Arabidopsis thaliana: one gene and its partner. The protein of the gene in region 1 interacts with the protein of each later gene in a pairwise test. Each region holds a gene or a part of one and is shown on either strand. Other genes may lie near its edges.

The links.
Region 2: the proteins of AT2G31040 (region 1) and atpF interact in a protein complementation assay, tested with the Arabidopsis thaliana proteins (one study listed by BioGRID).

What each region holds. Positions count from the first base shown.
Region 1 is NC_003071.7:13,207,959-13,213,180, forward strand, and holds AT2G31040 (ATP synthase protein I-like protein), read right to left. Parts: upstream 3,231-5,222; 5' UTR 3,055-3,230; coding exon 2,746-3,054; intron 2,668-2,745; coding exon 2,618-2,667; intron 2,522-2,617; coding exon 2,425-2,521; intron 2,346-2,424; coding exon 2,250-2,345; intron 2,093-2,249; coding exon 2,012-2,092; intron 1,845-2,011; coding exon 1,753-1,844; intron 1,668-1,752; coding exon 1,575-1,667; intron 1,470-1,574; coding exon 1,401-1,469; intron 1,302-1,400; coding exon 1,136-1,301; 3' UTR 961-1,135; coding exon of another isoform or gene 709-960; 3' UTR 666-708; downstream 1-665. Other genes in the region: AT2G31035 (oxysterol-binding-like protein), read left to right, coding at 709-960; AT2G31050 (Cupredoxin superfamily protein), read left to right, coding at 4,192-4,794. UniProt on the Arabidopsis thaliana protein: Facilitates the assembly of the membrane proton channel of the chloroplastic F-type ATPase. Specifically required for the efficient assembly and integration of the CF(0) subunit c into the chloroplastic ATPase complex in the thylakoid membrane.
Region 2 is NC_000932.1:11,029-14,866, forward strand, and holds atpF (ATP synthase CF0 B subunit), read right to left. Parts: upstream 1,771-3,838; coding exon 1,626-1,770; intron 911-1,625; coding exon 501-910; downstream 1-500. Other genes in the region: atpA (ATP synthase CF1 alpha subunit), read right to left, coding at 1-433; atpH (ATP synthase CF0 C subunit), read right to left, coding at 2,234-2,479; atpI (ATP synthase CF0 A subunit), read right to left, coding at 2,993-3,742. UniProt on the Arabidopsis thaliana protein: F(1)F(0) ATP synthase produces ATP from ADP in the presence of a proton or sodium gradient.

The DNA of each region.
Region 1 (5,222 bases):
AAGCATTTTAGTTTCCGATTCCTTAAAGGATTAGGTTTGGTATCTTGTTATATATAGTCGATAGCTTTGTAAAGGCACGGCATTATTTAATTAAATCAAAGAGCATTTCAACTCTTAAATACTTGTTGTGGCTAGAACTTGAGAGTTCTTAACGGAATAAGATAACATAGATTCTTGGACATTCTTAGACTAAACAAAAATATATGTGTTATCTACACCATCTGGTATCATAGCCATAACCTTGATTTTTAAGCTATACATATGTATATACTAATGAGAACAAATAAATGATTGTTGATACAAAAAAATTATATTATATTTTCTTCTGCTTGCGATCTACCATAAAACTCTTAACACTTTTTTTTTTTTTTCTTCTGGTTGCCTAAGGTAAAACATATATCTACTACAACTATAGGAAATTGTGCCTTAACACTATACTGTTGTTGTGGCATTCACTTTCTAAGATAGAGAACTGGAAAACTTGAGTCATGTAAAATGAAGCAATTTCAGGGATTCAACTTTATTGTTCAAATAATAACCAAATCTGGTGGTCCATTTACAGTTTTTTACATGCATACATGTTTCGTGATTTGACCATTAATTATCATTCACATGATTGTTCTCTATATAAACCATCCATCACCCTTATACTCTTTATTATTCCTATCCAAAAAGCAGAGTAATAAACCCAAAGACAATAATAAAGAAATGGAAGCTAGAGTAATTTCTTGCACTACTTTTGGAGACGACAAGGTCGTCAAGATTGCAGTTCTGAATCATCAAGCAGTTGCCAAATATGAAACGGGAGAAAACGAAACGACCGTTGTTGTTTCCGATGATACTTGCTCGGAGAAAGATGTCAAAGAGATTAAGAAGTGTTGTGAGAAGCTCGGTTATGTTTACGAAGGCAAACTCAACGAAGAATACACTCAAACCAACACTGGACCCGGTTTGGTCTAAAAATTTCAAAGTCATTAACTTTCTATGTTTCACTCTTTCTGCATTTGCTTTATATGTTCTAGCTATCTATCTCTTGGTGATTTGCTGGTATGAATGAGTTTATGAGTTATTAGTTTTTATTACATTAACACTTCTGTGTTTAATTACATTTCTTACAACACTGACCTTGACCTTATTAATCACTGGCCTGTGTGTCTGGAGAGATTGATTCGGGTTTTTGAGTAGTAATGGAGATGGCTTCTTCTATAGCTTGAAAGAACGTAGCAATTTTGTAAGTAAAGAACCCAACCAACATTGGTATCAACTCCAAATGCATGAATCCATACTCAGGAACAAGTATTCTGCAATATATGAAGAAGTCACAAGTAAATATGATTGATGTAACCAAGTTGATTTTGGATGAAAGATATATAATGCAAAACGGAGAGAGAGGTGCTTACGCGTTCCATCTATTGAATATCATAACCAACACAACGGGGACTAGTAACCGTGGCTGGTTAGCTGCACCTCTATAAAATCAATTCAGTAAGACCAAAGAACAAAAGAGATAAGTGAGTGAGTGAGTGGTCTCAACATAGATAACTGATAAGAATTTGAAGAGAAACATATAGTACTTGGCAACTCCTCTGGCTCCATCTGCCATGGCATCTACAGAGTTACCAAGCATCCTCATATATGCAAGTGAACCCAACAAGCCAGCACCAAAACTGTAACAAAATATTCAACACAAATTAAGATTGATTTAAAAAGTCCTTAACGAGATTTTGATGTTCATTGCATGAGAAGACAAACCTAAGTGCTATCTCTGGGGTGTATGAGATATAAGCTGAGACTAAACCAACACCACCAATACCGAGTGTGAGAACCTGAATCTTATTTTTCAGCTGCAGAAAACAATCCAAAAGTCAAGAGACTAGGAACTGAATGCTTCAAAAGTAACGGAGTTGCCCATGAAGGTAAAGAGTAGTGCTTATACAAGCTGCCTTTTCATGAGATAGCAATACATGATATTTGTCATACCATGAAAGGATTAGCTAACCAAAGAAGGTACCTTAAAATATTGTTCCCTGTCTTTAGCAGCTTGTACTTCTGGGTCACCACGTGGCCGTCTCAGCTCCCTAAACATCACATCCTGCAGCACACATTAGAAATGAAGGAAGGAATTAAGAACCAAGAAGATCCATTTTTGCCAATTCTGATCAATGTTTACAATGAAAATGACATTTCAATTGGTATAGAATTAATAAATCAAAGCACAAGTGATCCATCAATTGCAAAGATAAACTTACACTGCCACCAGTTGCAGCCTTCGTTGCTCTATCCCATTTCTCTTGCTCACGACGTGTAGGTGCCAGCTTCCATTTAGGAGACACAATAGCCTTACTCTAATGATATTGACAAAAAAGAGTAAACTTCAGAGACATAAAGAAATAGCAATGTGGCTTTGTCAAATTGGCTTCTCACCATTTGCTTTTTAGCTTCTGACTTGGAGGTGTCAAGACGATTTTTCACAACGGATTTAGAAGACGATGCAAGCTCTTTACTTAAATCAACATCCATACTAATTTTCCACAGATAACAACAACAAACAAATCAACCATTAATCAAAATGCAAGAAATAAAAAACTAATTTTTATCAGTTTAAAGGAGAATGAACCTGTCAAGACTCATAACTCTGCTAAAGCTCAGAAACCCAGAAGACTTTTCCTGTAAGCAATCACAAAACCTTAAAGAGATTTAGTGAAACCTTAAAGTTGAGCTAATTTGGGGGGATAAAGATTGAACCTTTGAAGGAGATGGGTCGAGAGAAGAATCATTAGGATCATCAAACAATTTCTTCATTTGATCCATAAAATCTCTGTTCCAGATTAAGTCTGTGGAAGTAATGGGATCTTCTTTTTCACCTCCCCAGTACTTTCGGAGCTTGGTGGTAGTCGGAGGACCACCGTACTCTCCGGGAGCAACTCCGGTGGACCATTTCTCAGGTTTCTTATTGGGTAGAATGATTTTGGTTGGTAGACGAGAATTGGGAGATTGATCTTGAGGAATTGGTGGTGTGGTTGATGTTGCTGAGATGTAACTAAGAATCGCCATGGATGAGTTTTTTGTGGAGCTTATGACGCACCTGATGTCTGATGATGATGAATGATATTGATGATGATGATGCAAAATAAAATAAAAATCTCAGCTTGTGGCAATTTTGGACTTCGTGATATTTTCATTAAATATTCCCACCAAAAAAACAAACATTTCATTAAAAATTTGAGAAAATGTTACAAAAAAGGAAATTCGGAAAAAAAAAGATGCGAAAATGGAATCTTAACTTACAATAATTAAAAAATAAATAAATAAATAAAAATAAATTAATTAATTAATTAAAAGAAGATAATATCTTTTGTATATAAATCCTAATCGTTGTATGTGTGTTAAAGAATACTCCTTCCGTCCCACAAAAATAAATTTTTTAGGAAAAAAATTTGTCCCACAAAAATAATTTTTTATATTTCCAATGTAATTTTTAGAACTGTTTACCTATTTTACCCTTATTAAATAATTAAATAAATGGTAATAATTATTTTTAAATAGTATTAAGAGATTAAAATTGTCATTATATATTATTTTTTAAAGAATGTGAAATTTCTAAAAAATCCATCTTCATGGGACGGAGGGAGTATAAATTAGACCCTAAATATGACTCTAACAATTGGTGAAATAAACAATTGGTAAAAATTAAATATGATATTTTTCTTAAATTTGTATTAATTTTCGAAATAGTTCATTTCTAATATTTTATTACATCGAGAAAGTTTGTGTGTTTTTAAAATTTAATAAGTAATATAATTTTATAAAGATATTAATTACAAAAAAAAACTTCTTATGAGATAATTTTTTAAAAATAATTACAAAATTATTATAATCTCTCAATAAATTAATACCTTTAAGAATTAATAAATTTCTGGATATATTTAACAAAAAGGGAAAAAATGACCTTAACAATTATCACTAGGAATTATCAAAATATAATATATTTTTGATTTAGAAAAACATATAAAATCGTCAAATTCTTAAAGAGAAAAGGGTTACCTTAAACGAGACCTCGGGTCTATATAAACAACGTAGTGCTCTCTCAACTTCTCACCAACACAAACTCAAAACTTTATAATATCTCTTACATAGTTGTTTTCTTCTTTCTTTGCTGCTTAATTCTCTCGTTTCAAACAACAATCGATCATGGCTTTGATCAAAAGCAACGCCTTCTTTACTTCTTTGCTTATTCTTGTAGCACTTTTTGGAATTTCCGTTGGAGGAACCGTTCACAAAGTTGGTGACTCCGACGGATGGACGATTATGAGCGTCAACTACGAGACATGGGCATCTACAATAACTTTTCAAGTTGGAGACTCTTTGGTCTTCAAATACAACAAAGACTTCCACGACGTCACCGAAGTCACTCACAATGATTACGAGATGTGTGAACCGTCCAAACCGCTAGCAAGATACGAGACCGGGTCTGATATCGTCATTCTAACCAAACCGGGACTCCAACACTTCATATGCGGATTTCCTGGTCACTGTGACATGGGACAAAAGCTTCAAATCCATGTATTACCAGCCTCATTGGGACCTGTCGCTGCTCCGGTTCCTGGACCCGTCCGACCACCAAGCTCTTTTTCGTCTCCTTCACAGTCTCCGTTGGCTGAGTCACCGGTTAATCATGCTCCAGTACAGTATCAGATGGGACCATCACCAGCTCCACATAGTGCAGCTTCAAACTCTAATGTTTGGATTGGACTCTGCTTCCTTCCTTTACTTTCTTTGCTCATCTTAGTTTGATATATTTACACACGTTTTGTCTTTTTTCTTTTAGTTTAACTTCTTACGTACGTTTGAGACTTTGGTTTGTAGTTTTTTCTAGAGAATAATACACCCATTATTCAACCTAACAACCCATCCTCTTCTAATCAAAAACCTACTCCTAGTCCTAAGCCTTTAGAGGATCCTCTTGAGGTTCTTCCAGTAGATGATGCAACGATTGCAACACTTCCTTACAATGCGGCCTCAAGTCCTTGTGTCTGGAGTGGCTTAAGCTTGGTCTGGAGTGACATAACCAAACTGGCGACTACTGTGCGGTGGATATTTTCATGATACTCGAACTGAACATTAGTTATTAACTTTTTAAAGTTTCTACTACCATGTTATTTAACATAAATGGAGACACATGCTTTTGATGAGATAAAATTAGAACGACGATTGGAACAAAA
Region 2 (3,838 bases), on another chromosome or scaffold:
CATATACAGAACGTCTCGAAATAATACCTGGGGCAGGAGATTCAATTAACCGAGATTCAGAAGCGGAAATCTTACCTCGACCATCAATAGGGTTAGCCAAGGCGTTTATAACACGCCCCAAATAAGCCTCACTCACCGGTATCTGAGCAATTTTTCCCGTAGCTTTGACTGAACTTCCTTCTTGGATCATCAAACCGTCACCCATTAATACAACACCAACATTATTGGATTCTAAATTAAGGGCAATACCTATAGTACCCTCCTCAAATTCTACTAATTCACCTGCCATTACTTCATCAAGACCATAAATACGAGCGATGCCATCGCCCACTTGAAGTACGGTACCGGTATTTACAATCGTTACTTCTCTATTATATTGCTCAATACGTTCACGGATAATATTACTAATTTCGTCGGCTCTAATGGTTACCATGAGTATTGTCCTGATTCTTTTGTTGGAAGAAAAAAAAATAATGCCTATAATAATCGTAAGGAAATAATTAATCAGTTATTTCTTTCATCGTACCAAACATCCCAATATTTGCATTAATAGTACGTAAATGTAACTCATTACTCAAACAACTATTTAGGGTTCCTATAGCTCCTTGTAAAGCTTGTTGGAAAACCCGTTCGCGGACTTGATTAATTGTTCTTTGTTGCTCAAAAAGAATGGTTTCATTTTTGTAATTTTCTAATTGTTTCAAAGTTTTATAAGTTGAATTAATCAAATTCAATTTTTCTCGTTCGATTTCAGAGTATCCATTCACGCGAAACTTATCCGCTTCCGTTTCTACGTTACGCAAGCGCGCCCGGGCATTTTCTAATTGTTGAATAGCTCCTTCACGCAGTTCTTCTGAATTTCGAATAGTATTTAATATCCTCTGCTTTCGGTTATCTAATAAATCATTTAATGAAAGTAGATTATCTTTCCATTCATTAAAAAAAAAGTTCTATGATCCCTTCCCGAACCAAACATGAATCTTTCGATTCATTTGGCTCTCATGCTCACTTATTCCAATCAATTATTTATGAGACTTCCCTTCCCATCTTTTTCATGCAATGAGCCTACCCTCTCCCGAGTTTTTTTATTCAATTCATATTCAATATATATTTCTATCGAAAAAGATCACCAATCCAAGATAAAAATATTCGGAGGATTCTTCTGACCAATGAAAAATTAATAATTGTCAGCAAAGTTGTTTCTTTTTTTCTTGAAATCCAAAGAATTCTTATTATTTTATACGTAGGTTATCAATTCTGCATTATAAAAAAAGACTCAAAAAATTTTATCGACATGAGTGTTTTATATCGAAAAAAGTATAACAATTCTTTTTGAAAATTTTATTCATTTTTTTATTTAGTCTACATTTAGACTATATATAGTAGAAAGAGTACCATGTTGCATCTGAACTTCAAACGGTTTAGCTTTAACCATGTTAATTAATTGTCCCAATTTTTGGTTAATAGAGAATCAAAGTAAAGCGGACTTACCAAAGAATAACGAAAGGCTATGGTTCTCAAATATGATTTTTTTATTCAGAAGTAATTCGCGGGATTATGCACTCTTTCCTAGTTATAGTGCCACTGGGTGAATCCAGCCTATTCTTGAAATGAACAACTCACACACACTCCCTTTCCAAAAAAGATCAATACACCGAAAACTACACTTAGATTTATTGGATTTGTTGCTAAAATATCGGTATTAAATCCGAAACTCCCGGCGGATGGCCAGTGACCCAAGTAAACGAAAGAATCGGTTAAATTTTTCATATAATCTCCTCTTCTAGCTAAACTATAAAAAAGGAACTCTGTCCTTTTTTTTTTATTCTTTTTATTGAAAATAAAAAGAAATTTGAATTTAATAATTTAATTTACCTATTTGGATATTTGTAAACAGAATCAAAAACCTATTCTATTTACAAACGTATTTTCCAAAATTTTTAATTTTCAATAATAATAATGAGACTTATTAGAATTAAGCTAGAATTTGAGACCAAGTTTTATGTCAAGTTCAAAAAACCTAAACCTACTTTTTTCGCAACACTCCTTAAAAAAAAGTTTCTATTAAACTAAAAGAATAAGGGGAAGGAAGAAAGCGAATCGATGTGCTAATTCCCCATCCTCAAATTAGTCCTTCCCAAGGATTGTTGTCTCAATGAATAATTGTAGGAGTTAAATCTTGATAGAATTAAAAAAACTACAAAAAAAATCCAGAATTTTGTGATTTCTGGGCTTAAACAAAAGGATTCGCAAATAAAAGCGCTAATGCTACAACCAGGCCATAAATTGTTAAAGCTTCCATAAAAGCCAAACTAAGCAATAAAGTACCTCGTATTTTTCCTTCTGCCTCAGGTTGTCTCGCGATACCTTCGACAGCTTGACCCGCAGCTGTACCTTGACCGACTCCAGGTCCAATAGAAGCAAGCCCAACAGCCAACCCAGCAGCAATAACCGAAGCAGCAGAAACCAGTGGATTCATGATAAGTTCCTCACACCAAAATAAAGAAATAGTTAATGATACAATCATCCAATGACTTAGGACGTAATTCTAATTAAGTAATCGCTAAGATTAATCCAGCCAAAAAAACCAAAAACTTTAATTGAAATATGAAATAATATAATAAAATTATTGAATCATAAGAATTACTTTGATAGTAGTTCCTATCCGCGGGATTTTTAAAAATCCATAATATATATACGACTTTTTTATGCCATTTTTTTTATGAACCATTCTTTGAATTCTTCGTTCTTTTTTTATCATTTTTTCAGCCAATTCACAGATAAAAAGGAAGAACTTCTAATCGAATCCCTATCTAAATCTAAATAGAAATTCACAAAAATAGTAGAGCAGATTCAGATTATATAGATCTTTAACTCATATATACCTAGGCAATATCAAATATCACATATACAAGTGTTTCTTACATAATGTAAACCAACTATTCTATAATTAATTGGGCTAACCTAAAAAAGAATATTAAAAAAAAAACCATTAATGATGACCTTCCATAGACTCACCTATATAAGCCGCAGCTAAAGTGGCAAAAATGAGAGCTTGAATCCCGCTTGTAAATAATCCAAGGAACATAACAGGTATAGGAACCACTAAAGGTACTAAAGAAACAAGAACAACAACGACTAATTCATCGGCTAATATATTTCCGAAAAGTCGAAAACTAAGTGATAGGGGTTTTGTAAAATCTTCTAAGATGTTAATGGGTAAAAGAATTGGGGTTGGTTGAATGTATTTACTGAAATACCCTAATCCTTTTTTGCTAAGCCCCGCATAAAAATAGGCTACTGATGTGAGTAAAGCTAAAGCAACCGTCGTATTTATATCATTCGTTGGTGCTGCTAACTCCCCTTGAGGTAACTGGATAATTTTCCACGGTAAAAGGGCTCCTGACCAGTTAGAAACAAAAATAAATAAAAACAGGGTTCCAATAAAGGGAACCCATGGACCATATTCTTCTCCAATCTGGGTTTTACTCACGTCTCGAATGAATTCAAGGACAAATTCAAAGAAATTTTGGCCGTCAGTTGGAATTGTTTGTGGATTGCGAATCGCTAGAACTGCGGAACCTAATAAGATAGCAATTACAACCCAAGAAGTAATAAGAACTTGGGCATGGACCTGGAAACCCCCTATTTGCCAATAGAAATGTTGGCCTACTTCTACACCAGATATCTCATATAACCCTTCTTTTATTAGTGTGTTGATGGAACATGATAAAACATTCATATTGCCCTCTGACAGAAATAAGAACTTTAAATTATTTTGATTCAAGACCCCCCCTTTTTTTTTACTTATTTACTTAAATTTTATATTTTAGTTTTG